Linked DNA regions of Lepisosteus oculatus. The protein of the gene in region 3 interacts with the protein of the main gene of each other region in a pairwise test. Links are inferred from orthologs where the notes say so. Each region holds a gene or a part of one and is shown on either strand. Other genes may lie near its edges.

Region 1 (10,721 bases), on a different chromosome or scaffold from region 3:
GCTGCTAATGGGGGAAAAATATATCTCTTTTTTCATTGTCACTGAAACTCCACTATATTGTGTAAATGATATATTAAATGGGGTTGTTACTTAAGGTATGCAGATCAGGGAGGTTAAGTTGTTGATTACGGAAATTTAATAAATGTGATTAGGCATAACAACTGATGAGTGCAGTTCTTCATTAGCTCTCTTTTAATCAGGATTATAAATACCAGTAAGACAGGCTGCCTCTGTCACTAGAGAACCAATCTCAAGACAACAAGGTTGTTAAACAGGATTAAAGACTGACAATGAGAAGTCAGGAGAGGGGAACAACCTACCCAGCTGTGTGATTGAAGCTGATATTTTGGCTTCTTTCAAGAAAAGACTGGATGAGACCCTTGGATCAATTAACTGAGTACCAAACAGGCTAGATGGGCACAAATGGCCACCTCTGTGTTGTTACAGTTCTGTGTTCTTAAGTGTGGCCTTGCCTAGTCTGAGCTACTGCAGGAGATGTACAGTATAACGTGTCTACAGTTTTGTTGTGCCCTGTTTCTGATTGAGAGTTCTGCCCTCTGCCCTTGATAATACATATCAATTTATTTTATTTGCAATGAAATTGATTGGTAAGGTCCCAGCAATATTAATAAAGTCTAGATTTACTACTTTTAAACCATTTGTGAAATACAGTATGGCCCTATGAAGCTGATGTTTTGACCTGGTTTTTGATCCCACATTGCATTTAAGGAACAAGCCATGAAAAGCCCAGAACTCATCTCTTCTGTTTCAGCTCTCGCTAACAGTGAGCGATGCTGTACACGCACTTATAAAAGTAAACACAGCAGAATTCTGAAGTCCAGTTAGCAACATAACAGGACCAACGGATGGTATATTTTCAAAACCAGAATAACCACCTTGCTTTTAGGAGAGACTGGCCTGTGTGAAACAGACGTCGATGCTAAGAAACAAGCTCGGAAGCGATCCTAATCAATCTGTTAGAATTTATTGTTCCTTACAGTGCTGGGGCCACAATAAATCCCCTCAGAAAACTCAAGTTTCTTGGAAAAATCAAAGTAATGACTGTAGCAGATGCCAGGCATGGTGAATATTATCCCATATGTCAGAGGCAAAGGATTAAATCTTCCTACTATAATCTGAAGCACTGAAAAAATTGACTTTACAATTGCATTTCTAATTATACTTTTTAATATTTGAAGGTGATATTCACTTTAGAACTTTCCTTAAGCATCTGTAAAAAGTTTACTCAAAAGCTTAAACATTCAGCAGCTATTTAAAAGGCGAGGTATAAAGGTACTCTCAGGGAGCAGTGAGTGTGTGTTCTCCGTTGGCGTACAGTATATTGTTGTATCATATATTTTTTGGAGGGGAGATACTTTCCGTAAGACTCTTGTACCTTTCTTCAATCCAAACAAATCTAAAGCACATTCAAGTTTTCATAATTCCTGGAAACTGTAACTCAGGCTTAGGTCTGATGGTTATAATGGCTGCCCTTTTACCATTTTTGCTATGTTTTCAATCACACTGTGCAGATGTATTGGCCATTTAATTCTGTATTTCATTTCCCATTAAATATGATTTTAGGGCTTACTTTACCCTAGTAACCAGTAGCACTGAAATTTCTTTTTCTGAAACCATCGTGGAATATTGAGCCTTATAACACTTACAGTCCTTATTTATAAGAGTGCAAAAACTATTGTCTGCATATTGACATACACTGTAGGTATGTAATGATTACTTTGAATCATATTTTTATTACTTTATTACTGGTGATGTTTGATAGTCATCAGGAGAAACAGGCATACAATTTTCAGTTTCACCTGCATCTGTTGGTATGCTTTTCTTTTCTGTAATGATCATATTGTCACTGCAAAATAAGCACCTACTGTACATGCTTCTTTTTAAGCTGACCTGCAAAACTAATTTAGATTAATGAAGTTAAGTAAGCTTTCACACTTGATATCCATAAATTCAGGCAAGTATCATACAGTCTGGAAAGGTGATCCATTATTGTTCACTGAGCAGCGACTCCTGGGCAGCTCTGTGGAAAAGCCTGCATTGTTCTTGGCCAGACAGGAAGGAAGAGACCCTGTGATCGTGGTTGTGCTGAGCTGAGGGAAATAGGCTGTTGAGTGGTAACGGTCTCGAGCAAAACTCAAGATGATTTACCACTTGGACTACAATGCTAATTTACTCTTTTTTTTCTTCTCATCTTACCGTCTTACAAGTATTCTTTGTAGTTGTTTGTAGACCTCAAAACAGCAAGTTGTAACAGCGGCAGGTTTATTGGATCAGAGGGAATAGATACTACTGTATATGCTTTCCATGACATCATAGGAGGATGACTAATGGGACTTGAAACACATGACATAATGTAAATATAGAGGAATTTAGTTCCATACTTGGTTTTGAATGTAAGAACCCTAAATCTTTTAAAGTTGAAGCTAATTAAAAACACAATGTTCATAACATATTATAATTAATAAGAAAATGAAAGAGAAAGTTCAACTGAAATTCCTTTTAGGCCATGGGTTTGGCAATTTAAGTAGAGTAGAGTAGTAGAGTTTTTCCTACATCTCCTTTAACAGAACCTAATTACGTTTGGGAAGCTGCTGCTAAGACTTAAAAAATTATTTAAAAACCTGAATTACAGTATCATTAGTGCAATCTGCTGGAAATATCTTACTCAAAGGTGTTCTGAAAATCAAGAAACATAGTAAGCCCAGTAACAGAACCTAATAAAGAGCTGGACATACTTTCACTGTTCAATTCTTTTGTGATAATGTTTTTTCTGATGCTCTTGCATCCATCCATTTCTAACCACTTCTCCACACACAGACACAAACACATACATTCACAACAGGGCATATTTTTCCCACAAGCCAGTTGACATACCAGTATGTTTTTGGACTCTGGGAAGAAACCGGGGAGCCAGGTGGAAACACATTGAAAACATAAACCTTCCATGCATATAGCACCCCAGGAATGGAACCCAGGGGCCCAGTTCTGTGAGGACACAATTCTAAGCACTGTGCCACTGTGCTGCCTGTTGCTTTTTCAGATAAAACAAAAAAAGCATTAAAGACATTCCTAGGTATCAATTACAGCTGTCACTGGCAGGATTAAAGGAGAAAAAAGCACATTTTTAAAACATGAAATGTATTATCTCTGTTGCAGGGGCTGGGACCGAATACTCGCCAAAGTTGAAAGATCTGTAGCTTTGGTTTCCCATTAATCATATAATTAAAATATTAATTTAATTATATGCCGCCTTCACACTGCCTTTAATTGAGTTTTTCCAGACACATACATATTATTATAAAATAATCTTATTTTCAATCTTCATGGGCTGTCTTAAACTCCAAGGGCATTTATTACACACATTTGTAATGGATCAGAACCTTTGGGAGGCCATTAGTTTATTGTGTATACTGGAGAACAAGAAAAAGTTGCGAAGGTGGAGTCATAAGACTTGTACTACTTTGGCATGGTGAGTCAGGCTGTGCAGCAAACATCAGTGAACATCAGTGAATGGTTTGCTTTCCAAGGAGCCCACACATTTGTTGTGAAATTATTGGTTTCTGAACTCAGCCTAGCCAAATGTGCAGTGCATATATATACCCTACGCATGCTGTTGCTTCTAGTTTTTAAAAATCAAAATGATGCTAGCTGACCTTTACTGTTGTTGTCTCTGTTGTCGCTTATTACTGACAGCCTGCAGACAATCTTAAGGGGGGAAAATGATTCTCATGTCCCACTAAATTGCCAGTCTCCGACAGTGTGGGAACCTATTTAAGTTTATTTAAATAGTGCACTGTGGAGACACTTCAGTACGGGGATGTGCATTTAAAACTGAAAATGGAAAGCACTTTTTTATAGTGCTGTGGATGCCTGAAACTCCGGCTGTGTTGTCGAAGCCAATATCCTGTTTAATACCCTGGGTTCTTTCACAAAATGGATGGATGACATCCTCTGGTCAATTAGCCACTGAATCCTAGATAAGATGGATGGGACGAATGGCCTCCACTTGTAAATGTCCTGGAGGTGAACAGCTTTTATTGTTGAACATTGAAAACATTTTTTCACAATGAAAATTATTATAAATTGTCACCACTTACTACTTACTAGTTACTAGAGTTATTATACATACTCTAGGTACGTTGACATGAGGTACATGTATGGTTAGTATGTATTGTGTATTGTCATTATAACCTTTGAACAATATACATAAAGAGCTAAATAGACTGTAAACATTTTTCACAGTGCTATCTATATATGATTATATAACAGTTGAACAGAAACCAAATGTGTGTAATTTTAGATACCCCGCCGACCCAGCACTATCGAAACCAGAAACCATAGCATCATATGCTATACGTATAAATACGTTATGCTGTTTTTCCATCCTGCAAATCAATTACACAGCCCTAATAACTGTATCGCATTCAGCAGTCCTAAAAGCTTGAGGTTTCGACTCAAGCTTTTAGTGAATAATGACTTAATCGTTTCCCACAGTTACTGTAAAATTAAAATAAACTAAAATAAAGAACCCAAGCATTTAGCATTTTGCTGTTTCTTAGAATGCTGAATGCGTCTCTCTCTATTTATTCTATTATAAATACTTCAATGTATTATTGTTGCTGGTGATGGCGGTGGTTTGAATTGTAATTTGTGAAAGAGAATGGCAGCTGTGGAACCTTGTGAAGACAAACACCACTTACCTGGTCGATGTGCGCCCCCTGGCGTGCGATACTTGTTTCAGCAGCAAAAGCCTTGTAAAAAATTATAAACAAACATGGCGGTCGACCGGTGGGAGTGAAAGAAACGTCTGTGCATCTTAACGGCGAGGATTTTTAACTGCAATTTCCCAGTATGATTTCATATTTCTTGTATATGACACACCTATATGGGTATATGAACACAACAGGATTGGCTGTAAAAATGATTTTTACACTTGAAAACTTCAAGGAGCTTCGTAAAGGGCAGTTAGATTCTTACTGAGTGCCTGCGTGTTGACATCAGGTTCTGTAGGTAGAAGTACTTTACTTTGTTGTATTAACAATATTGAAAATATTAGCTCTGCGTTTTGGGCATGTGATTTAGCAAGAACTCACTGACATTTCGGTTTGAAGTTAGAAACTACTATTTTCAGTTGTAGCACTCTTTAACTCTGAAATGAGACGCCCGCTGTCATTCTTCAGTAGGACAGATTTTATTAATTTAAACGTACATACTGTACAGTATGCAGCACGCTAGTGTGAATTTAAGATCTGCATGTAGGGGATTTACCTACCGTGTTGTAACTACAGTTTTCGATATAAAATACAAAGCAAGAATTATGATGTTACTACAACAAAATGCATGAAAAATTATATTTATGTTCATCTAACGAAAAAAAAATCAAAATGTATTTATGCACAACAACCTCAAATTGCTGTACAACAGTATATAAAACAGAAACCAAAAGAAACCCAAACATGCACCCCATGTTTTTCAAAGGGGTTAAACGCTTCTCCACAACTGTATTTGGGTCCAGATCAAGGGTGGATTAATTTTTAAACACTGAAATTGCTAGTTTACTGCATGTTTAAACTAAATTATTCCATATTTGAAAGTGTTGATTTTGTTAATTCTGAGATTTTGGGTATATATAAAATAGGAATAAATATCATACTTACTGCTGCTGATTACAGATTTTGTGATATGCTTCCATAGATTGGCCTGATGATGGACACACAGGGAATCATTTGTCATACCCGTCAAATTGAAAAACGTCTCCATGAACAGAACCATCAAGATATTATGCTCTTATTAGAGGAATTAGAAATGGCTCACATTACATTAGAACAACTTCAGCAAACAGATATTGCAAAAGTTGTTTATCGGGTCTGTAAAACCTGCCAAGGGACTTTGGTGAAGAAAAAAGCGAAGGTTTTACTGTCAAAATGGAAGAAGCTGTTTACCAATCCTTGGTGCAAAGCATCCTATCACCTTGCAGGAAAAGGCCCTGATGAGAAAAACAGTACTCGAGGGCCACACACAGAGAAAAACCCATCCTGTTGCCAGTCAGAAATAAATGAGACTCACTGTTCACAGTGCGGTCAGTTGGAAGGAAACGAGAGCTTTATCAGTGAGAAAGACAAAGCTAAAGAGACTAATGAGGCAACACAACATAATTTATTCCACTGTGTGGCCAGCAGAGGGGAGGTACTGAAAGAAGATGAGTTTGGTTCAGCAATAAGCAAAAATGAAAACAAAAGTGATCTTTCTAGATTGGAAAACAACGGAAACACCCCAGCAGTTAGATCCCAGCCTGGCACAGTGGAGAACGCTGGACATGATACTTCAGGGGTGACTCTGGAAAAGGTACAGCCTAGCAAGATACCTCTTAGGTCCAAATGTATACAGCTGCTCTTTCAAGCCCTTATTCCTGAGGGAGCTGAGCACACAGAGTCCGCAGGGAACTGTCAGGAAGTTGCCTGTGCGATTGAGGAGCACGTTTTTATCCTCCATGGGAAAAACGAAAGAAAGTACAAGTCTTTCATTAGAAGTAAAGTTTCTAACTTAAGGAACCCTAAGACCCCTCACTGGCGTCAAAACCTGCTGGGTGGACAGCTGAGCCCTAAGGTGTTTTCTGAGATGTCCGTGATGGAACTGGCAAGTGATGAGCTAAAGCAGATGAGGTCAGCGTACATAGAATCTGCCATTAATGAACACCAGCTTCCCCAAGGCGTGGGCGGGACCCAGACAGATAAAATAAAGTGCCGGCGATGTGAGAGGTTTGACTGCACTGTGACACTCATTTCCAGGGGTACCCTCTTCCTTCCTAGTTGGGTACGCAACGGAACCCCAGATGAGCAGATGATGACTTTTGTCATCTGTAACAAATGTGGTGAGAAATGGTATAACAGTGGATGGATTTGTTTATAGTAACTGGTGCAACCGGTTCGAACAGTACATGTTAATCATGGGTTGAAGGTTTGCATTTCTGGTACAGCTCGGCTCTCTCCGTGGCACTATAAGACAGTTGTGATGATGAGGATCTTTAAGTCATTGTGAAAATGTTGTTCTTTTTTTTCCCCCAAAGTGCCTCACATTTGTACTGGTTTGTGCAGTTACATTTTTGTGTGTGGATTTTTTGTGATAAGCTACTGTGTGTCTCGTTTTTATGTTATTTTTTGTGTTTGGTATTTTTGACTCTGTATTTTGGCCAGAGATTGAATGAAATTTTCAGAATTTGTTGAAGTGAACTGGAAGAACACTTATTAAATTAAAATAGCTATGCAGTGATTGAAGATAATATCTCAGCAGTTTCTGTTCATTTTTATTATAGATGAATAAAAAAGGCCATCCTTTGTCACTCTCATTTGCAGAACACAGTATGTGTCAGCAAGTACAGCTATAAGATATGCCATGGACTGTATTTTAATCATATTTTAGGAAACTTGTCTTTTCAAGATAAGCACATTACATAAAACAGAACCTCGAAGAAGCTGAAAGTGCCTAAACAGTTGATAATTTAACAGACTAAATCTTGATCCAGAGCTGCATTACTATAAATATAGATAATAGAAAAAGTGTGCAGAGTAATCAATTTAACTGCACTTAGATCATATGGTCTTTACTCATACATGTGACTTTGTTCAAAAATGCTCTGCATGTGACTTTTTTCATGTCGTAGAAACTTCAGGAACCCTACTGCATGGTACAACTCCTTAGCCTGTCAGAGTTATAATTTAAGTAATGGCTGAATGCTATTCATTTGTATTTCAAAGCAGATTAATACTATATTCTTGTCAAGCTTTATCAACGTGAGATATATGATTTAAAATCATCTATGCCCAGTAATACCTAATAAGTCATTTTATGTGTGTATGCTTTGGTTTTAAATTTCTAACTGTATTCCTTCTATTAATGTCACACCTGAAGAAAGCTACTCCGTCAAAATGTTGTATCTGTTCCTTTCAGTATGGAACAAACCTTTACCTGTTCTATTAAATTCATTGTGCCAATTTCAGTAGACATCTAATTACAGTATATACTGTATAATGCATTTTTGAAACAATTTGTGTTTAAAGTACACCCTGTTAATTCATTCCAGGGTTTCTTTTTTAGATTGTGAGAACTTTTCATCAGGAAATTTCCATAACCCATCATAATTGGTCATAAAAAGTGGTGCTACATGAGTTTTCCAATGTTTATAGATTATCTTTCTGTTTTGAAATCATAACAATGCTACTTAGAAATTTGGGGTATGCTCCAAAACTAATTAGTTGGCCTGACAATATTACATTTTAACTCTCTTCTTGCTTTGGAATAAATAATAAAATACTTTGAGAATTCACTAAGGTTACACAATTACAAAGTGTGAGCTAGAAAAATCTCTTTTAAAACCACTAATGGCAACTTTTTTGTACTTTAGCATAATATTGAGTTTTGTTTTTGCACTTTAGCATAATATTTTGTTGTGTGCACTTGTTAAACTATAAATTAATCCCTTAACTGTTCTCGAAAAAGAAAGGTCTCTGACGTTTCTATAGCATTCTACGACCTGGATTTTTCATTCTCAGGTTTTGTTTTTACCTTTTCTTTGCATTTTCTTGCTCAGTGATATTTTCAAAAATATATAGTTCTTTAATGAGCTATGTTTGCAGTTCAGTCTTCAGTTAGGTCACTTTTGTGGAATTATATTTAATATTCAATTATAGGTAACAATGTTAAGTTATGTCTTCAACTCAAAGTAGTGGTTTATTCATGTCTAAGGACTCCACTTACCCCTCACAGATGTGAGGTAATGTCCATAATAATAAACCAAATTAGAGGTTATGAACCAAATGTATTGTCTCTAATTTTATGTGCTGAGAGAGGGAAAACCTGCTGTTCTGCAACTTAGTTTCCACCTGACAAAGGCAAATGCAATAAGAGATTTTGAAAAACCTGTATAATGTAGACATCTCTCAGAGTTACAGAGTTTTCCTACTGTACGAGACTGGACTGGAAAATTCCCACACTGGTAGTTGTGTAAACAGCAGACAATGTGCACAGATGAGACAATCCATAACAGAAACCTAGTCACCTGTATCAAGTTAAAGGCAGATGGAGAAGTTAGAGGTTTGTGTTCAGTTGTAGGCTTAAAGATAAAAAATGACATCTAGACTTGAGTTTTAACCAGAAAAACTCACAAATGGACATTTTCTGATGTTGTATAATGCAAAATTAGAAATTAATACAATTCTGTAAGATTTATGCTTGCATGCAGACATAGTGCTAGACTGGACCCTAGCTGATAGACAGTTCTTAGCATGTTCGTATTTGTGGCAAAATGTACAGTATATACAGTATATTATTGTGAAATGGTGATAAAGAACCATCTTCAGAGATGTGGGTTTTCTGGGAGATTCAGGTGTTATCTTTGTTTAAACTTTGATACATGACCAGCATAACAAAAGCTTATTTTTATATCAACAACAAAAACACTTAACAAATACCGTATATTTTGATAAGATGATTATGTATCTTGTTCTATTTTTTTATCTATATTTTGAGGTATGGGTACCTCTTTGGAACACCATTGGAAATAAACACGGTATAGACAAGTCACTTCTTGGTAATTAATTAACATAATACCTTGAACTGAAAGACTTAATGTACATGTTAATTGTTTTTCAATATCCTGGATGTAACTTGCACCAAGTACGTCTTACCTGACAGTGCTGGCAAGAAATTTAGCACAGTGCACAAGATATGTTGGAGAGTTTATAGAATATATGTATTATTAATATCATGTCCTATAAGCCCATCTACTCCCAAAGCCACAAAAAATGAAACCCCTTCAGAAGAATTTCATATTAATAGAGAAAGAGACCAAATTTAATGCTTAACATTTTTGATTACATGCATTTTGATATTATAAAAAAAACCTACCAGAAATGCAAAACCACTAGAATAGGTAAAAATATAAAAACAACAGTATAGTGTCTGACTGCCCTTACAAATGAAACAAGGTTATGTTTTATCAACGGTGAACTACTGTATGCCTAGTTGTGTTATGGGAAAATTAAGTAAATTAGAATTAGCCCCTAGACACATTTATTACTGCTGAGGTGCTGCATATCTCTTGCAATACCTCAGTTTATCACTGTGACAGTTTACTGTTTACTGTGATACAGTAGGCCTTTTGAAATCTTCGTAGCACTGGGGCAATCAATTAACAGTCACAAACATTTAATGGTCCCCGATCTTCAATGATTTATGTATCAAAGGAGAGAGGAAAATTCAATGTGACAAGTTCCAGTCTCCAGAGTCATAGCAAAGGATAAATGTTTGCGTAAATGAGCCTTGCCCGGGGGTCACATTTGGATATAGAGTTCAAACAGCTTGACTATTCATGCCAGAGGTGGGAAGATTTTCATGAAGGCTTAAAGCCTGTCTGATCAAATGGATCGTAGCAGAAGGATCTTTTTTCCAGAAAGTTATTTAAAAATAATGTCTCTGTCTTGAAGATTCTCTGTTTGTTGATTCTACTGTGTGTCTCCCCTTGTTGCGTGTACTGTGCCACAGGTTTTGCTGGGTCATGCACGTAAATGTTGTTTTTATGTGATGTAATGCTGGTGAGTGTGATGGGTGTGTGCCCTTACAATTATCACTTTGCTGACTTCTGTAGAAATGTTCTAATAGGTTACTATAGAGAACTGGGACAATTCTAAACCGGCTATACTGTA
Region 2 (10,834 bases), on a different chromosome or scaffold from region 3:
CCCTATCCTGGTCTTTTTTCCCCATGTTTTCTCACTCCCTTCTGGATTGTGCTGTCTGCCTGAAAGACGCTTCGTGATACTATGCTAATTTGTCCTTCACTGAAATATTGTATATGGAGGAAATGGTCTCCTCTCATTTGAATCGTTGTTTATGCTCTTATGGATCTGGACTTGATTTCAACTTGATTTTCTGTCCCTTCATTGGAAGAAACTTTCTGTGCCCAGTTTTCCCAGAAAGAGTTAACCTATGTTAAAAAGAATGCCTGTTCGGCCATCTTTGTAGCACCAGCATCTGCATTGTTAGACTACATTTGATGATTTATTCTTTTATTTTCCCAGGTAAGTCAACTGAACATGAATTTAATTTCTAACAACAAATTATATCCTTCTTTGATTTTATTATACTTGCACTTGATTATTTTCTTACCTTAGAGTCACAGTTGAAATGCCTTTCTAAGCCTAAAGAGTCCCTCCAGCAATGCAGAGCACATGTACCACTAGGGCTGAGAGTGCTGACATTCGGAAGATCATGACAGCTAACGCCGGCAGCACGGGGTTCTGGGATTGGTGGCTCTTCCAGAGTACAAAGAGGACAAAAATCCTCCAGAAAACCTGGAGCAGGCTGGGAAGTTTGGGTGTCCCCTTACATCATGTTTTCTCTGACGTACTGTAGATAGTCACATTAATTAAATCCATCCATTTTCTAGCAGCTTCTTCCAATTCGGGGTAGTTGGGGAGTCAGAGCCTATCCTGGCAAATAAAATAATATACTCCAAAATACAAAGACAGATACACAGCACACACAATTTTCCAGAAGACAATTAACCTACCAGCATGTTTTAGGACTGTGGGAGGAAGCCAGAGTCAGTTATTTAATAATTTAATGCTTTGAGTATTTAGTGACAAATCATTTCTGAATTCTGATCATTTGTGTTTGTTATAGATGATTATTCTGTTCTTAAAATATAGATGATTGTTTCCTGCTCCAGCTTCCTCCTGCCTTCCAGACACATGATGGGTAGCATCATTAATCTCTCTAAATTGCCCCAGTGCGCTTGTGCTTGTGGCTGTGTGTGAGATGAAGTGATCTCCCATCCAGAGTGCTGTCACATCTTCTGCCCTGTGTATATGAGGCACAAACCTTGCCCAGAATCAATACCTTTCACATTGTTTAAATGGTTTGATGTCCCCCCCCCACCATAAGCAATGAAGGGCTATCAGTTGTTGAATTAATTCTTTTCTATAAATACTTTGCTGTCTCTTTTAATACATTAAAGCTATTCCTAACAGTTTGAATAACAAGTCTCAGAATCCTAACAATAGTCATTTTGACATCAATATTAAAGTTTTATTTAAAACATTAAAGTTTCCTGTTGGGTTAAAGCATCCATTTACCAGTATGAACACAAATATGACCTCACCAATACTTATCCTGCGATAGGCAAATGGGTTTGAAGGACGATCTTTTGATTGAACAGGGTAAGTGTTGTTTGCAATGCTTTCAACTTGCTTTGAAGCCATCAGAACCATAGCCTGTTGTGAAAAAAAAAACACTGTGGCTTCATGACTTGGTAAATGCATGCTGATTGAGCAGTAAAACAACATAATTTGTTGGCAAAACCATGTGGATGCTGCACAGTGGTGGTGGTGGAGGGGAGTCCCCATTACCTGTAAAGCGCTTTGAGTGGAGTGTCTAGAAAAGCACTATAAAAGTGTAAGCTATTATTATTATTAATGGTGTAGAAACATCCGGGGCTCCCAAAAGCATTGAATTCTCCTTTGGTAAAGTGGAATTTACTATTGTTGGAAGGTGCTCAGGGATTGGAGTATGTCCAAAACTGAATGGAGATTAAGTCTTGGCTGAGAGTGAGATGTGCATACCAATGTGGTCACCAAGTGACATTGGCCATTTGACTTGAGAGGGAGACTCAATTTATTTGTCAAATCCTGTAATAAACTAATTGTGGGGAAATCAGGTGACCAGTGTGCTGGGATAGCAGCCCAGAACTAGAGCTTCTGCTAAGTGCTTTTCCTTTGTTTTTGTCATCCTTGTGCTGTTTTTCCATTAGAACACATCAACAAAAATGATTATTTGACTGTTGTTTCCCCAGCTGAGAAAAAAGACTGTGATTCTCCTGGAAAAGGAGACAAGTGGTAGCCACACTGCTGGAGCAGTCAACAGAACAGTACTTACAGCTTGTAAAAACTGAGATGGTGGCAATGAGCTGAATCAATTCTAATGTAGGTTCAACACACAAAACAAGAAAAGCACTTGGGCCCGACTTTATTCCAACAGCTACACTGAAATCTTGTGCCAGTCAACTTCCTCCTGTTTTTACAGATCTACCTTACAATCTCTCTCGTAAGCAGGCAAAGGTACCGCACAGTTTTAAGATGACTAGTATATTACCGGTACTTAAGAAATCCATTGTGAACTCCATCAATGACTGCAGACCAGTAGTCTTGACATCTGTCATTATGAAGGTGTTTGAGCAGCTCATAGTTTCCTGTCCAGTGCACACTTGGACCCATGTCAGTTTGCCTAAACAGCAAACAAGTCAGTGGATTGTGCAGTCTCTCGGGGCTCCATGATGTATTTCAACACCTAGCAGCACCCAGCACATATACCTGGATCCTATTTATTGATTATAGTTCTGCTTTTAACACAATCACCCTTCTTAAGCTTTTTGATAAGCTAGAAGAGATACTGTAGGTATTAACCAGACTCTGAGTTATTGGCTACTGGTGTAGGAAGCTGTTGGTGAAGCTGAAGGATACTATCTCTCAGCAAATCAACCGGAGCACAGGAGTTCCTCAAGGTTGTATCTTATCATCTCTCAGCATCTCTCATCTCTCATCTATCATCACAGCAATGAACACTTTTCACATATTCCTGTCTTTAGATCATCACACAGGGTGTTATTGTCAGATCCCATACAGATAAACTCCATAGTTCACCCTTTATATTCTAAATTATACAGGTTGACATTTTCAAGTGTATGAGGTTTGGGAAACTGACTTCTTCTGAAACATTGGCTGTATTGGGAATATCTATATCCCTGTATCTTCCTGGGAGACATGAGAAATAGGAGACATGAGAAAGTTTCCTGGGTTTGTTAGCCTTCCTCTGTAAAGTTATTTAATTTTTACCCTGATTCTGGCCTTCTTCAGCTTGAAATTATACAGTACAGCTTGAAATGATACAGCAAAGGTATACTAACTTTGAGAACAGTTAATTTCAGAAGCATATTAATATGGCTATTTTTTCCATATTTATGAAAAATCAGCCACAGTTTGTGTGGGTTATGTGATGCCAAGCTACAGTATATATTAAAGTGATATTGTGCTGGAGAGCATATGGCCAAATTAATACAACATCAGGGGTGCGCAGTTTGTTGTTTTTCTACTTTTTGGAACAAGTAACTCAGACTGTCCATCACTATTAAATCTACTCTGACAGTTCTTTTGTTAAAATTTGATATAGCTATGTGATAAATAATTATACACAGTATGAAGATAACAACTCCCAGTCTCGGCCTCAGTTACAATTTTACATTATTTTTGGTGCTCTATCAAGGTCTAAAATTAATAGGTGCTTTTATTTCTTTTTTAGTTCTATGATTCCTCTCTCACACCCTTCAGTGCATTGAGAAATGTCTCAACATGGTAGAGCTGGGTAGGCAGAGGGCTAAGCTCTGCCAAACATTCTGTTTTTTAACACCTTTGATTTACAAACACGGGTGCAGTCTTGTCACTAGACAAGACAAGACAAGATATACAGTATCTAGTTGTCCCCTTGCAGATAATGTTGTCATCCCACTTAAACTTAAATGTTTATTCTAGCATTCAACTTATATATTATAGACTAAAATTGGCCCCAGTCTTACACAACTAAATATGATTGGTATTTGCTCAAAAATGTGGTCGCAAAATTCCAGAAAACACAGGATTCCTACTATTTTCTATAACCACAAACTTTTCTTTCTCTTTTTCACTCTGGGTTGAAAAGATGTTTATTATTCTAGCAGACATTTTTAATGAGAATTCCTTCCAGATCCTGCAATCTCAATAAAAGCTACACGCTTACTCTTTCTTTTTTCTTGCATCTTCATTCTGCTATGCATGGCTCTAGTACCCCCTGCACAGTGAAGCTGTCTACACACCTAACCTATAATCTACTGGTACAAAAGAAAGGAATTGGTTTACTCTGCTTTTTCTGTAGATTTTTCATTCCAACTCTTACTAATATGGAACAAGAACTTTAATTCTTTAGATCAGGAAATTAATTGGGACATTATAAATATAGCTTTCAACATTCATCCATCCATTTTCTAACTATTTTATCTAATACAGAGTTGTGGGGTTTTGGGGGGTGCCTAACTCAAGCAACAGGCAGAAGGATTGATACAACCTGGATGGGGCCCCAGTCCATCACAGGGCACATACAGATACAGAGACTCACACACTCACACCAGGGCCAATTTTCCCAGAAGCCATCAGTATGTCTTTAGGCTGTGAGAGGGAACTAGAGCTGGAAGAAAGCTACGGAAACATGGAGAGAACATACAAACTCTACACCTACGGCATCCCAGGAATGGAACTCAGGTCCCTAGAGCTGTGAGACAGCAATGCTTAAGCACTGTGCCAGCATGAAGCCCCAGCTTTAAAAATCCTAATAATGAAATTATCGTCTTCAGGCATTGTATTTGACCCATTGTTCACCACATCTTCCCCATATGGTCCTTTGTTTATTGTCTGTCCAGAGGACATTGTAAGCACTATTTGGAAATAGTTCAGGTGGGTAGCTGCGTCAGCATGCGTAGGCTGCAAAGGAACAAGTAATAGGTTTATTCCATGCTGAAAAAAAGAAGAAAGAGAACACAACATTTCGGTCGTGGAGCCTTCTTCAGGTGTGAGAGAGACAGGGCAGTAGGCAAAGGTTACGACCACTCTAATCTCTCCGTCTGTGTTCTCAAATACAGTTTTCCGAACTCATACATCAGAAAGACCACCGAAACTAAAATTATTCTGCAGCTAGGATCACACATTCTCCCTTCTCTTAACAACAGACTACTGTTCTTTTAAATGTTCTCCATTCATTGGAAGTTTCATTTCACACCTCTCTGCACCCATTCTCACTTCACACCTCTTGATTGGCCTCTCTTTCTGTTCCCTGCTCCCGCCTCTCACTCCTCCTCCCTCCCAACCTTTGTTCTCCCGCTACTTTACCTTTGCCTACTGTTCTGTCTCTCTCACACCTGAAAAAGGCTCCACGGCCGAAACGTTGTGTTCTCTTTCTTCTTTTTTTCAGCATGGAATAAACCTATTACTTGTTCCACTATTTGGAAATGTCGAGATGTTTTGAAAAACAGTTATTGTTTTCCACATTTCTAAACAAACATACAGTATGCTTTGCTTTATAGTACTCTAGATAGTTTACAGTACTCCTTAAGTTATAGTACAATAACTTTGATCTTGTCTCTCAGAAATAAAACTTATTTGGTTGGCGGGTCACTCACCACGGTTTAAAAAAAGGACACAATGTCTTCCCTCTCCTCTTCTGGAGTCAACTTTAGTAGTTTTCTACTACTTATATCAAAGGTGATAGGGAAGACAGTACAGGCTTGGAGTGCTTTAGCTGTCGTGATTTAATTATTATTGCACAGGGCTTCTACCATGGCTGCATAACTATGAAATTGTTTATAATTACGCATTTGTTAAAAGCTGAAAACTTACATGTGCTCTATTTTATTTGTAAAGTCTTATCATACGACATTTGGAAATGTTTATTTTATAACTCAAATATACTGTATATTGTCCACTCATCTTAAAACTATGCTGCAGTATTCTGGTTATTAACCCGTACAAGGATGACAAAATACAGTAAACACCAGGGGGAGCTCACCACCCACGCTGAAACTCGAGGCTCGTTTCCTAGCAACCAGCCTGTGTACAGTAGTCGCGGGAGAGTACACGGAGACCAACACACACACACAAATTCTGTGCGAACTTCATGCAGTAAGCAGAAGTGCAAAAAATTAATAGAAACTGAGATGTACAAACTGGAACTGCCAGCGGATCGTACTCAAGCCGCTCACCTCGAGAGGAGACGAAACGCAGATGTTCAACGGCAAGATAGGATTTTCAACGCTAAAGTCAGAACGATTGGAGTAAGGGGCTCTATATGTTCTATACTAGATGTCTTGAATTTTTAACAGTTTATTTTCGCAATACGTGAATGATTGATATCCTGTAGATCAAAAATTATTCAGCACACAAAATAATGTAACGATTAGATTGAGTTTGATTTCTTATAAATGTTTTTTCTGTTTCCTTCTTAAGCTTGAATATGTATGAACAAATTTACATCTGTATTTTTAAATTACATATACTGTACATAACCCAGCGATTCCCAACATCAACCGCTTCTACCCACAAAAGGTGTAACTTTATAGTTATTTTCACACTTGTTTTCAGTGCTGTATCATTAGTGTTGCAACAACGGAAATCTACTTATTTAATGTTTTATACTTGAATATCGTTATCTAATAAACGAGATTTGTATCGTGTTATTATCACGATTTTTTATTTTCTAATTGTTCACCGTATTGTGCATTGACAACGTATTATACAGTATAATGATACATTAACTCTCCTCAGGAACATGTCTGTATCTGCTTCATCTGCTCATTTCAATGGCACTTCTAACCGCTTGTCTTTCTTATATGTTTTTACTTTGTAACCTGTGGTCCTACTGTTTCTACACCTACTGTTTCTACTTGAGATTTTACTTTCAAAGGTGCTACTGTACATAAAATAACGTTTTTTTGTAATTATTGTTATAGAGGAACATGATCAGATTTTCCCTGGTTCAGAAAAAAAAGATCTGAAGTATACTGGTTTATCACTGTTCTCACACCCTCTTTGGTAAATGGCTTTGCATACTAATCTGATCAAATCTACCTACAGATCCAGCAATTCAAAATGCATGGAGTACGCCGCGTTAAAACGCGGTAGGCGTGGCACATCGTACCGCATTTTAAATGAATTATGATAATAGTATCTAGACATTTATCAGAAATGTTTCATATTGCAGAAATGACCTTGGACTAGCACAACAATCCATCTGGATCGTCTTATATTGGTGGAGAGCATTTCGATAAAATCAGATCATTCTACTTTATTCAACGTAGAATAACTGATATTTTCTTTAATACTTAACACAATTTAGTGCCAGTCTGCCTGTGCAATGCCTTTTCTCAGTTCCTTCATTTTGAAATATCTAGGTGGATAAAGAAGCATTAGATTTCCAAGTGAAGGAAAAGAACATAAAAGAAGACAAAGAAGCTAGGATACTGAAGGCCTACGGTGAGTACAGGTTTCTGACATGACAATGTAAAAATATTAAGTCTGCAGCTGGTGTGGTGGCGCAGTGGTTAGCGTTGCTTCCTCACAGAACTGGGCCCTCTGTTCAATTCTTGGGGTGCTGCTGTCTGTGTGGAGTTTGTATGTTCTCCCCATGTACTCATGAGCTTTTGCTCTGGACATATTGGTAGGTTGATTGGCTGCTGGGGAAAATGGCCCTGGTGTGAGTGTGTGCTTGTGTGTGTCATTATGTGCCCTGCAATGGACTGGAGTCCAGTCCTGGGTGTAGCCTGTTGCTTTTCAGGTGTGGCTTCTGCTCCCCCACAGCCCTGTGTTAGGGAATATTAATGAGGACCCTATGCAGAAAAACCAGGACGAACTCCAGAGGCGTAGTTGATTTAACAGTCTGAGGTCCGAAAGCAGAAGGTAAACAAGCCGGTGCAAAAGTAAAAAATCAGAAGCGGAGCTGTAAGCCGCGAGGAAGCCGAGAGTCGAAGCCAGAACAATACTCAAAGTAGCAAAACAAAACCAAGAGACGTAGACTAACCGGGGTCAGGAAGCCAAAAACTAAGAAGTAATTAATTGGGAGAATTGAAGTAGCTCTAGCCAGGAAAAACCTGACTACTGAGCACAGGGGAGAGTATGAAGCAGCATTAAATTGGTTGGGGTAAATGGGCTAATTGGGAACCGTGCGGGAATGCGAGGTGGAATGACGAATCCTCCGGGGGCGTGGCGTAACACCCTGCATTCGAAAAAGTGGTAAACTAAGAGAACAAGAGTGCAGAAATGTGCAAAAAAAAAAAGGAATTTATAAAAAGAGGAAGTAAGAAGTCTGTAATGTTATTTTTTTATTTTTATGTGAAGGATCCCATGCCTTGTTAGGAGTTTACAATGAAGTGTTTAAGAATTGTTGGATTGTTTGGCACATTTCAGGCCAGCCAAGGTCTCTTAAATGCAGATGCACTGTAATTCATGTATCCTACACTCAAGTTTAGAAGGGAAGAGGGGTCTTGGTTTATTGCCACGACTGACCTGAGCTAACTGCCTGACTCTCTGACCATGTTTACATCTTATAAGGCAACAAACTGTTACTGACCAATCATAAAAATGTATTAGATTTTGCTCATCTTCAACAACAAAAGCCTGTTGTTCTGTTTGAAAAAGCGAGTTAGGGACGAGGTTATAACCTGTTAAATTTGCCTGTCCTCCTTTCTTTATTGCAATAAAGAAATCATGATTTGATTCAGTAGAACTGTGTGTGGTTTTCATTGTGGGTTCTAACATACAGTATGCAAGATCTTTAATACAGATCTTCAATGCTCCAGCATGCAGGGAACTTACATTTGTAAAAGCAGATATCTTGAAAAGAAAAAATGGGTGAACCTACACTCAGAGTTATTAATGCCTTTATGTTTATTCCTTAAGCCGAAGACCTCATCTGCGCTGACAAGGTGGCCTGTTTGCTGGAGCAAAGGCAGAAAACGGATGTGAGAAAGCTGTGCAGGGCCACTGATGAGTTCCGGCACAGCTATCAGAAGCCGGAGGACAGGCGGGAGTTCAATCTGAATGACCCCGAGCAGCTGAAGAAGGAAGCTGCAGGAGACGGCTCGGGCCAGAGGCTGCAGGGGCTGCTGGGAGAGGACCTGACCCAGAAGGAGAGGCGCCGCAGCCAGCAGGAGCAGTTGAGAGAGTGGTCACTGCAGCAGCAGAGGGAGTTCAAGGAGGCCAGAGAAGACCAAAGAGCAGCAGGTATATTCTGGGAAACTACTAAAAAAATGTTACAAAAGAGGCCATTCTACCCATTGGTGGTGGTGGAGGGGAGTCCCCATTACCTGTAAAGTGCTTTGAGGGGTGTGACCAAAAAAGCGTTATATAAGTGTAAGGAATTATTATTATTATTATTATTATTATTATTACTATTACTATTATTATTATTATTATTATTAACCCATCTAGATTGCTTGATTGCTAGTAGCTATTTGGTCCATGTCATGTCTTGAAATAAACCTGGGTTTTGGCTTCAACAATGTGCCTGGGTAACTTGTTATATAATTAGCCTTTTACCACACTATTAAAATGGAATATCAGTATTGTCGCCTCCTACTTTAAGCATCTATTGCTATGGGACATTTTTCTGTGAACAAGAGGTGCCTTCTGCCCTTCAACCACCTGCTACCATTACTGTTGTCGTTGTGACTAAGGTCTTTTTCTAGTTTTCTCTGCTAAAGAAACCTCCGCCCAACCTCGGCAATTGAAATGAAGCAGTAAAATCACAATATTCAACACACAAATATGTAATCTAAAACTCCTTTTGGCTCTGTCCTATTGGAAATAGAAGACCATAACATTTACAGTTAATCTTTATTTACCACAGAGACTCATTTTTACCCTCTCCTTGAAATGAATTTGAGTGGTATAAATCGGGTTTCTTTCAGTTTTCTCTGGGAGAGTACTCAGTCTGCTCTCTTAATTGTTCTCAAACCAAGAAGTAATCACTTTAACACATGAAAACCTTTTTTTTAACCCACTTTCACCCCCCAACTTCGGAGGACTTCTTTATTCTTTACTTTTTATTTTTCACTCTCATTTGTGTTCTTATAAGACAATAACAAACAAAATTCCATTACAATTACAATTACAAAAAAAACTTCCTATTGATATTCTTAACATCCGGTGCGATTCAAGTATGTCTCTACTGGGCCCCAAACATTCCTATACTCATTAACTTTCCTCTGTAAATTATATGAAATCTTTTCAAATTTACCTTGTGATATAGCCTCTTTAATCCATTCTTTGTACGATGGTCCTGTTCTGTCCACCCATTTTCGCAATATTATTTTTTAGCAATAATACAGAGAGTCAAAAAAGTATTTTTATATTGAATTGCTACTTTAACCTTTGATAAATCACCAAGGATACATGTAATGGGAGTAAGTGGAATTTAGATATTTAGGTGCCTGAGAGCTTTCCCCACTGTGGAGGTCCAGAATGACTGTACAGTATGTGCTGACAATACCATCTTAATATAGTCAAGCTGTCTTCTTCCCTGGGTCACTTGTCCCCCTCTCCTACTAAACCAGCATTCCGTCTCACACCTGAAGAAGGCTCCATGGCCAAAATGTTTTCTTTCGTGTTTTCTTTCTTCTCTTTTCAGCATGGAATAAATCTATTACTTGTTAATTTACTTTAGGTAGTATTGACATCTTGACTATATTAATTCTACCCCACATGGAAATTGGTAAACATCTCCATCTGAGTATGTCCCCATTTATTTTATTTAACAAGTCTCTTAAATTAACATCTCGGGAAGCTTTCACGCTGGACTTTATTACTTTATTTACACAGCCCCAGATACGCTATCTCTGTTGTAACTCGTACTGGGTGAGTAATCGTATGATGCAATGATAATGAATTAAGATACATAAGTTTTGTTTTGCTCCAGTTGATCTTATAATCTGTCATCTTACCA
Region 3 (10,314 bases):
ACCATTCTTTACATCTGTTCAGCAGGTCTTTGACATTTCACGGTACACAAAAAATGCTCTTACTGTATATGTTTTCTCTCTCTACAGGAACATCCGAAACAAGGACAAAAGGGAGACTCCAGGATAAATTACAAGAATATAAAACAAAAAGAGCAAAGAGTAACATTGTGAATTGGCATGAAAGACATTTTCTGCATGAGCACGACAACTCTTCAGTACACCCCAATCAAAGCAGAATAGCCAAGGCAGTGTCAGTACAGCACTGCCCAGGCCTCTGCTGTACAAAGCACATGCAGCTCCTCCAGTACACCAGCTTACTGAAGCTTCTGCTCACTTCACAAACAGTGGTAAAACATTTAATATTGAGCAAATAACACTATTCTGTCTGCCTGCTTGTTTTGCGTAGCCTACCTTTCTCCCAGAAACACAGATCATCTAACGACCCCCCCCGGAAGAAATGCAAAGAACACATTAGAAGCATTTTTCAAAGTGTATCTTCTGCTTAATGATAGCAGTTCAGGCTGTCCCATGAAAGTACTGTATGCTGCTTCATCTATAAGGCTTAAATTTAAATTCACACCTTTACCAGTGAAATGGAACTACCTACCAATGACATCATCCCTTAAAAGCATTTAGCAAAAACAGTCACAAATGTAATTCTTTTAAGAAATGCAATATGAAAACACAGCCACATTTGCATTTTCTCATTAGGTTGCAAGGCATAGTACACGTATGTTATAAAGGGCTTCTGAAATCTCTCATTTTATATCCTTAATGGTCAGCAAGCATTACAGTAGAAACATACTGTAGATCACATCAGAATAATTCACTAGGGCCTCCGCAGCCTCATATCTAAGAACCTAAAATTACATCCTACTCCATTCACCAATCACTTCCTACCTTTGCAGCAATTAGTTGTTCCTGGCCCAAAATCATATCCTAAAATCCGTTTTCACCTTGTTCATGAACTACCAGATTTAAAGGTTTAATTCTGCACACCGCTATTCAGACTATGGTGTACAGAACGTTACCACCATAACTGGACAGACATGACATTAACAGAGAACAGATAAAGATCAGATAAAAAAGGTCAAAACCATTGAAACAATGCTCAGAATCTCCAGTGCCTTCCTGAAAGAAGGAATGCTTCTAAGGTGTATGCAAGATTCTAAAAAGCTAAAAGTGTCTATTTTGTTTTTCTCGAATTTGTCACCTTTCAACCACAGTTTGTCACTTATCTATCACCTTCCTGGACCAGGCAGGAAAAAACGAAACCATCCTTCTATACTGTATATGTAGCATCACACTGGACCAAAATCATAATGCTGCATTGTTCTATACTGACAAAGCCATCTCCTCAAGGGCAATGCACCAAGTTCAGCTTTCACTTTTAATTGATGAAGGTTTAAGTTTTACTAAAGACACTTGCAATTCCTGTACAGCAGGCAACTACCACTTTTTTTTACAATAGCAGATTTTCGATCTCAAGTGTGAGGTTCAAAACATCACGTTGTCAAAAAGCTCAAGCCTATGAAGACACAGCCAAGAGGAGTTTTAGTAGATATGATGCTCAACTCACCATCTGGAGTCCTGTGGTCTGACTCTTCTTCTCTCACAGTAAGACTATCGGAGAGTCCCTGCAGCTTTGAGCTGTTCTCCTCGGTGTCACCCAGGGGAACAGCATTAAGGATTCTTGCCAAGGCTTTGGATAAGACAGGGGCCTCCGATTTATTTTCCTGGGGAGCTGTCACCTGCAAGAAGCAGTTAAGACAAGATCAGGGATCAATACAATGCAGATGATACCACAGCAAAGAAAACACTCTACAAGACCTTGGCTGTTTAAATGTATGGAAAGTTCTATTGCACACACCGTGCACGAAACACTGGACTGCTGGACATTTCCCCTGACAGGGAGGTTTGATTAAATGTGTGTTTGACTGCAAAATGCAAAAAGGCTTCTCACATGTTACATTTGAAAATACCGAGACATCACTGCCAGCATACTAGGACATTCATTATCTGGAAGAAACAAATCAGGACACTGCTCACGTCAGCAAAGGCACCGGTTCTTTTTCAGCTTTTATTTAGTGATGAAACAGTCTCCCTGTAAAACCTATACATAAAACGTCAGAACGTTCAGGTTCTGATCAAAATATTCACTTTAAAAACATGTGTATACTTCATTTGTAATTCACTCAAATGGGACATTATTGGAAAGTAAGAGCTGGTATAAGACGCTGTATATTTTATTTTTAGGCAAGCCCATGCATACATATGATCATTTTAGAATAAAATCTGGGTTAGGGTTAGGGTATTGGGACACCTTCACTTTCAGCAAACTTGATAGCGTAAAAGCCAGTGTTTGGTTGCTGATCCCTTTGGGACAATAACAGAACAAAGTCTGCGATCCACACAAAACCCTAAGTCTAATTATTTAAGATACTTTTAGCTGCAGCTACTTTGGGTTCTTTGGATGTTGCGAGTTCAGTTTCTCTTCATCATACTGTATGAAATGCATGCTCAACTGGGGAATGACGTAGTCAGCTTTTCTTTTTTTTTACCTCCACTTCATCCTGCAGAAGCCCCAGTCTCAAGGAATCTGAACCTTCTCAGTCAGTCAGTTAGTCAGTCTGATTTATGAATCACATATCTAGAGCGTAGTAATTTACGGCCCATAAACCTAAATATCAAATTCCATTTCACAACATCTGCACAGTACAGGGGGGTTTAAAATGGAAGTTGTAAGCAGCCTGGGGCTACTGAGCGAACGCCTTACCTACCTTGTTCAGCGCATTGCACAGCGGAGGGCTGGGGCGTTTCGGGTCGGGCACAGAAGCAGCTCTCATGTGCATCGATGCCGGGGGCACAAACCTGGGCTTCTTGGCCACATTGCCACACAGCTGACTTGGAGCCCCTGACCTGCGCATACTGAGATACCAGCCCACCTGCAGGAGTTCAGAAACAGAATAGTTCTATTGAGGCATCGCGTGGGCAGGCTTGCTGGCCCCTGGGTCTTACGATAGCAATGAAAGGCCATGATTGCGATGGACAGGTAATTGGACAACACTATCCTCACGCTGGTGCTCACTAACCTCGGGGAGAATTTTATGAGAGTAGGGTTAAATCTAGCAACCTAATTACGCTTAGGATGAAATCGAGGGTATTGTTGATCTCTTGAAAAGGGATCCTTCAGGCAAATAAGATTTAAACAGCCCAGTACTATGGATATGTTTCCCAAAATATGATGAGTAACATTTCTCTACTTCAAAATGCAGATTACATACAACAAAGCAGCAATTAAAAAAATGATCATCCGAATAAATTACAGATTACAGGTAATCTCATTGGGAGATTTATTACAAATTCATTTTTAAAAAATCATGCCGTTTCTCGTTAGCCTTCAAACTGACACGTCAGTGGACATAACAGCACAAACTGTTCCATATGTAGCTACATATCGTACCGAAACTTAAAGATTATTTTAGCATCTCCGAAAAAGACCTTATATAGACTTACTATATTAAAACAGAGCACATAAGCAGAACTGCCAGTTAAACGGCCGTCCGATTACCTTTATGTTGTGTCTATTACCTGAAAGCTAGACCCGTTTTTAAATGATGTGCTTATATGTCCGATCTAGGTAGTTGTGGGAATGAGAACCGTCGATAATAACGATCCAACAGCCTTCCGTTTTATTAACTGTGGCATAAAAAACAAAACAAAATAGTCAACCTTATCCACGATATACAGCACCGCATTATTACTTACATTAGAAACTTGCAACCAAGCGGGCTAGACGGGCCAAATGACGCCCTTTCTTATGTTTTTATGTTCTAGGTAGACAGAACCCCTCTATACCACAATAAAGATTATTTTTTTTCCCTACAAATCCTCTTCTTATTTCCTCCCGGCGGCGGCCACCTCCGTAGACTCAAGTCTCCCGCGTAACCAGGATCCGCCCTCCGATAGGCCGCGGTCATGGGGCGGAGATACGAGTGCTCCCACCTTCATTTCGCAAAATGAATAGCCTTGCTATTATTAACCTTATAATTATAAGCTCAAATAACGTGAACACAAGAGATTAATGTTCAGACGTGGATAAAAAAGCATCTTATCAGTAAATAAAAAACCTTTTTTGTGCTTTACCGTCACTTCTTGCCACACCGATTATGGTCGCCGTTACACTCCATCTCATGGCGGATGTAAATGTATTTTTAATAGGACGCAGGAATCTGGTCCATAACGTATCATTAGTCTTTTTCATTTTCTATATAAAATACAGAACCACCCGTATTGAAAGCTCGGGTTTAGAAATTAAAGAGAAAAATCCTTAAAACCGCTCCTGCCACACTGCCGAATCACCCCTCGCCGTTTTTTTTGCCGAGTGAATGTCAATATATCGCCACAGTTTGCGACAGTTGGTTCTTGTCACCTGAAAACAGCAGGTAAATAAAATACATTGAAGTAGAGGAATCGAGGGTAAGATACGCGGTGCGTTTTAATTATTCGTATTTGCCTTCCATGTAATTACAAAAAATATTTTTATACGACATTCTGATGCAAAAATACTGAATACTGAAATGACTGGTTTAACTGTCATTGTGCAGAAAGCTTTTCAAATACTATAAGAAACGTAACAATTAAGTCTATATTAAATGGTAAGTTGATTTATGTTTTTCATATGCATATAGTGCTGTGCATTGTGAATTCTGCCAACTTCTCTCCTGCACTGGCTTTCTGTAAATTGTAAAGAACTGTAAATATTTTAAAAACTAAACTTTAAAACAACAGTTCGTACGTACAGTAGTAGCAGTGTAGTGGTGATGTACAAGCATTGCATAAGATTGTCCGGTTATCAAAACAATCAATAACTTTAGGTACTGTAGGTGTACAAACCACGAAGTAAGAGGATAAGATAATAAACGATAATAAATATTTATTATTTTCCCTTTTGAGCTCAGCATCCATGAGCTTCAGTATAACAAGGGTTTCTGTTTGATCCGGTAAAGATACCTTGCATTGTTACTAATACGATATTAACATGGGGGAAGTTGTTAAAGTAGTAGTCTGAAATGGCATAGACGTTCTCTATGTGGACGTCATGAAGCTGAACAGTGTTCGGTAAGTATAGCATCTCAGTTTAACATTGCGCTTTCGAAACGATACAACACAGAAGCTTAGTTGTAGAATTTACCAGTTGTAATTTCTTACAGCTTGTAAGAAATTTACGATTACCAGCACAGAGCAAGGGAAAAGGGTTGTGTGTCTGATGAAGCATGCTGGAGAATCAAGGCTTACAAACTGCAGCAGTGCCAGTCTGTAACTTACAGTGTAAGGGGTTACAGTACATGCAGATAGTGGAAACATAAACTGTGATTAGAAGATAGGGGGAAAACACTGATCTGAACACTGAAAATGCTGCTTATGAAAAGGAAAAGGTAAAGGCATTTGTGCAGTAGTAAAGATTGCACATCTGCAAACTGCCTCGCAGAGCTTGGCAGATTTCACTGTGTGACTGCTATCTTTATTAAAAAGAAAAACATTTGTTGTGTTTGTATTTGGGTTAAATAATTTCGTACATTCAGTTCCAAAAGGAGGTTCTAAATGCACAGGTATGAGCTTGTGCAGTTCTGAGTCTTGGATAAACTTGCTCCATGTATCGCACCAGTCCAGGGGAGTGTGATCCGGATGGCAGGGTGGGTGGGGATACACCACGAGCCCTGTCCCTTGCTGGTGGTGGACTGTGATGCACCCTCCAGTCCCTCTCTCACGTCTCTATCTGTTTTACCCGGTGGAGAAGGTCTGAGTCACAGTGGTTCAGGGACCCATCAGCCCCTTTAGGGCACCCTAGGCCCTCTGACGCAGTGGCAGAAGTGTGCGGATGTGTAAGAGAGCTGGGTGGAGCTAAATAAAACCAGTCTTTCCCTGAACTACATCTAGTGGATAGTGCGCACATCTACTTTACCTGTTGGCCTTCCCTCATAAATTTCTGTGTTGACATCTGTCCATCGATTTTCTAACCACGCCAATGCATCCCATTCACAGGAGGAGCCTGGCACAAGGGGCACGAGGCGGGGTACACACTGAAAGGGGCACCAGCACACACAGTCGTACACACACCAAGGCCAGTTTTCCCTGAAGCCAGTTAACCTACCAATATGTCCTGGGATTGTAGGAGAAAACCTATGTGAACATGGGGAGAACATGCAAACTCCACACAGACAGCAGCCCAGGTCCGGCATGGAAACAAGGGCCCCAGCACTGCGAGGCATCAACGCTAACCCTTGTGCCACCATGCCATGCCACCCTCTGTGTTGACAGTGTTTTGTAATGGCTTGTTGTTTTTCGGATGACTCTACCATAAAGTAGTGTGTTATATTCAGGGTATCGTCACCTACAGCGGAGTTGTAAGAATAATCTTTGACATGGCGGTTACTTAAATGCTGACTTATGTACCATGTGCCTTGAGGTACTTTAGGTGATGGTGCTAATTTATCTTTTTTTTCCAGAGTGACAGCCTTCCATAACAGTATTTGTGTGTAATATTTGTTTTCTTGATATTGGTGTAGACAGATTGAGCATATGTTACAAATGTCAGGCAGTTGTAAAATGTCCCTTATGCAAAAAGGTTTCTAAAAAAGAGAAGAAATTCAGTCAGTGAAGGAGGGGTTTTGAACTGAACGCCTTTGCAGTCAGAATACATTTTGGTCTTTGTTTTTTAGACTGCTTGATATAAACTACAAAGACACCTCTCTACTAACAGTGGAAGGTGAAATTGTGGATTTTGTTCTACACTGCTGAAATGTCATTAAGCTAATACCATTAACTTGTAGGGAGATTCTAAGTGCATTCAAGGTCATGGTAGCTTAAGTGCTGGTTGATTGAGGTTATCTTATTCGAAAAGGAATCCATTTCACTCCAGACACGATATCACGTCAGCTGAGGGTCACATGAGCGCTGGGCCTCCATTGTTGCACCTAATATAGTGAGAATTGATTTGAACAATCAGTACGTTTAGTAAAATGGAGGTGTAAGACTAGCGAATCCTAACATCCATCCAGTATCATAAAGCTGCTTATCCTGGTAGGAGTCAGAGCAAGCCAGAGGCACCAGGCAGGGCTGGGAGCGCATTTGCTTGTTCTCCCTCTGGATGGGAAGCCAGTCCTTTGAGGGGAGCTGCACTAACGCATCTATTGAAAGTGCTGCAACAAAAGGAGTGTTTAATGAGAAGGGGCGGCTTCTATCACCAGTGACTCCGAGGAAAACTAAACTCCTGAACTAACTTGGATTCATTGCACTTGCTGCAATTAAGTGAGTGACCCTCAAAGCCAAAAAAGAGGACATTTGCTTCCTTGTAAATTGATCATGTCAGAGAATTGTGTGCACAACTTTTACATGATGATGATGAAGTGCTCAGAATGTTTGATTTTATTTTTGCAAGGTTGATACTTATGTCCTTTTTTCTGCTTTGATATGCAAGAGAGAGACTTTCAGTAGCAAGTTTAAGATTAAGGTGTGTTTGTCTGGAAATGTAATGTATACTCGTAATGCAATTATTGATTTTCTATCAAAATTGATTTTTTTGCCAGTTTGGATTTGGACTAATAAAAAGCAGAGCAGGTTTATCACAATCATTCATTTCTGTCTTTTAAAATGCATTTTTAACCATTTTATTGGAGTACTTTATGGGGACTATAATTGATAATTATGTATCAATCATTTAGCCTTTCTGTAAACATTGTCTAGTATAACTCCTAAGTGTCTATAATTTCTGTACTTTTCAACATATTCTTATTGGCTCAGACCTTGTGGTATTGACATCTAAACATCAAAGCAGTAAATATACTTTTTCAAATAGGGCACATCCCCTTCCCTTGGCAATTCCCTTCCCTTGAAATTTGCCTGACACTTTGCATTTAACTCTGTGATGGGCCTCAGACTCAGATTTCAGGCATAAAATGAAACAAGGGCGTAGTGTACAATCTATCAGACATGTACAGAAATGTTAGGTTATGTAATTAAATCTGGTCAGAAATGGGAAAATCCCAGCTTTTCAGCCTTACATTTTACATTGCAAGAATTGAAGGGAAATATTTACAGTAGAAGATGGGCCTACTTGCAAGTTTTCAAATGAAACCATGACCCATCTCATGAAGGGGATGTCATGTATGGCTAATATTTACACTGTAGCCATTTCTCACAAAGTTTTTTTTTTAATCAACATTAAAGGTAAAGCCAACAATCACTTTTTATTGGTATGTCCCAGCTAATATAAATAGTTTTTTTAGCTTTTACTCAACCCTGATATGTTTGTTCTCTAACCGATGCTCCTGTTTTGTCATTTAAAATTTTAGAAAGGTCACCAAAAGTGAAATTAACCAGACGTTATCTCTTAACCCCTTGGTAGAAGAGCAGTGAGGAAGAATTTCAATTAGGAATATTTCCGGACCCGGCAGCAGAGCATCACCACTACAGAGTAAGAAACGCACAAGACAGAATGTGTCATAAATTACGGTGAAATAATCCATTAGGCAAACCCCATCTTGAGTGTGAAGTGAACTACCCAGTGAAGTCCTTTCACCTTTAGGAAGGTTTGCACTGTGCCCCAGCAGTGAGAAGCTAAAGGACAGGCCAGTGGCTGCCTCTTATTTCTAATTTTTCTTCATATCAGACATCAGAGCACATTTAAAAAGATATGGCTATACACCATAAGAAATTCAAAAATTTATTTTTTTTTACATATTTTTGTTTACAATTCTGAATTCTGGGTATTTTTTTTTTTTGCACTAATTTAGCAGGCGAAATTGGAAGCCGTGAAGAAGGAGGCTCTTTATTCGGATGGCTAAGGCGGGCACTGTGTCCGGTATCTCAGCAGAGGGCTGGGGGTGGCTGACATGCTACACCTCTGTGGGAATGCTCTCTAGGGGAAAGGCTGAAGCTCTGCCCATGTGAACGCGGGGTTATTGTTTGCTTTGTTCAACAACTGGCTGTTTGGGCTCCAAGTATCTGTTTCTTAGGAAACTCAACAGCTCATACCACGTTTCTGTCTCCCCCCCATACAGGCAGTGTCAGGGGCAGGAGTGAAGGATTACAGGGAGCCTTAAAAGGTGAGAAGGAGAGTGAAGTGAACTAGACAATTGAAGATGAACAAACAGAGCATCGGGAGAGGTGTTTTTCTGTTACTATCTTTTATCTTCACACGTCGGTGCGTGCTCACCTTTCCTGTATCCTGCCGTTCGTTGTCGTGATGTCTGCAGTGTGATTCTCGAGGTCTGTGTCCACAGCAGAATGTAATTAAAGATGTATGCTGTGCCTTGAAACTCAATAGGCGACGTGCAGTACAACTGCAGTCTGTAGCTGCTCGCCAGCTATTACCTCTTGCTCTTTAAGCCTTAATGCTGATGTTTGTAACTGGCTTTTTGAAATGAGAATTATGGGCCTTAAAGCAATCTCAGTTCAATTTTAATCCTGCAGGTTTGATGGTGCAAGTCATGGAGTCTTGAGACTTCGCATTCTTGTTTTCCCTGTGATGCATGCTTATTATCCTTATATACTCTACAGCCAGGTATCTTTTATGTTTCCTCGTTGATGTGGTAATAGTTATGTTTTGACTCCAATTTGCGGTTTGTTTGCCAGTAGTAAATTGCTTAATCTGCATCAGGGAGCCTGTTTTTCTGACGATAATGCTACCAGCCACCCCTGAGGTCAATGAAAAAGAAATAACACGCATGAGAGTTTGTTTTTTGAAGAAGATCGTCTACCTGATGAGGGGGATTTCTTTCCCCGTGTGTCCGTGTCTCAGTGGGCGTGCCAGATGGGTTATGACCTCGAGCGGTTTGTGGGCTACGTGAACGAGGGCCTGCTGTGCTGCGTGTGCCGCGATGTGCTGGAGGACCCCCTGCAGGCGCCCTGCGAGCACGCCTTCTGCAGCTCCTGCATTCACGGCTGGCTGGTCCACCACCACACCTGCCCCGAAGACAGGCAGGCCCTCGACGCCTCCCTGCTGCGGCCCTTGTTCAGGTAACCGCACAGACATTATTCATCTGGATATGATATGATATCATCATAACATATCATATTATATCTGATATGGTATGATATGATATTATTTGATATTATATTATCATATATCATATCTGATATGATATTATTTTATTTGATATTATACTATATTTATCTGTCTAGATATTATTATATTAATAGTATAGTATTATTCGTCATAGCAGTAGCATCAGTGTATCCCATAATAATAATAGTACAGTAGTAATAAAGAAGATGGATTGACATTGCATTTAGTTGTGATTGCATTCCAAA

What was found.
Region 1: the proteins of rad54b (region 3) and transcription elongation factor A N-terminal and central domain-containing protein interact in a two-hybrid assay, tested with the Homo sapiens proteins (2 studies listed by BioGRID). The two-hybrid records come from large-scale screens. The link is inferred for Lepisosteus oculatus from reciprocal best matches to the Homo sapiens genes RAD54B and TCEANC.
Region 2: the proteins of rad54b (region 3) and ribc2 interact in a two-hybrid assay, tested with the Homo sapiens proteins (2 studies listed by BioGRID and IntAct). The two-hybrid records come from large-scale screens. The link is inferred for Lepisosteus oculatus from reciprocal best matches to the Homo sapiens genes RAD54B and RIBC2.

The regions. Positions count from the first base shown.
Region 1 is NC_090708.1:21,958,178-21,968,898, forward strand, and holds transcription elongation factor A N-terminal and central domain-containing protein, read left to right. Parts: upstream 1-5,724; coding exon 5,725-6,930; 3' UTR 6,931-9,520; downstream 9,521-10,721.
Region 2 is NC_090702.1:9,008,581-9,019,414, reverse strand, and holds the start of ribc2 (RIB43A-like with coiled-coils protein 2), read left to right. Parts: upstream 1-5,951; 5' UTR 5,952-6,053; coding exon 6,054-6,170; intron 6,171-7,286; coding exon 7,287-7,368; intron 7,369-8,790; coding exon 8,791-9,114; intron 9,115-10,834. UniProt on the Homo sapiens protein: Microtubule inner protein (MIP) part of the dynein-decorated doublet microtubules (DMTs) in cilia axoneme, which is required for motile cilia beating.
Region 3 is NC_090705.1:7,543,692-7,554,005, forward strand, and holds the start of rad54b (DNA repair and recombination protein RAD54B), read right to left. Parts: upstream 4,230-10,314; 5' UTR 4,147-4,229; intron 4,125-4,146; exon of another isoform or gene 3,769-4,124; intron 2,946-3,768; 5' UTR 2,928-2,945; coding exon 2,781-2,927; intron 1,752-2,780; coding exon 1,580-1,751; intron 1-1,579. Other genes in the region: rnf41l (RING finger protein 151), read left to right, coding at 9,815-10,020. UniProt on the Homo sapiens protein: Involved in DNA repair and mitotic recombination. May play an active role in recombination processes in concert with other members of the RAD52 epistasis group.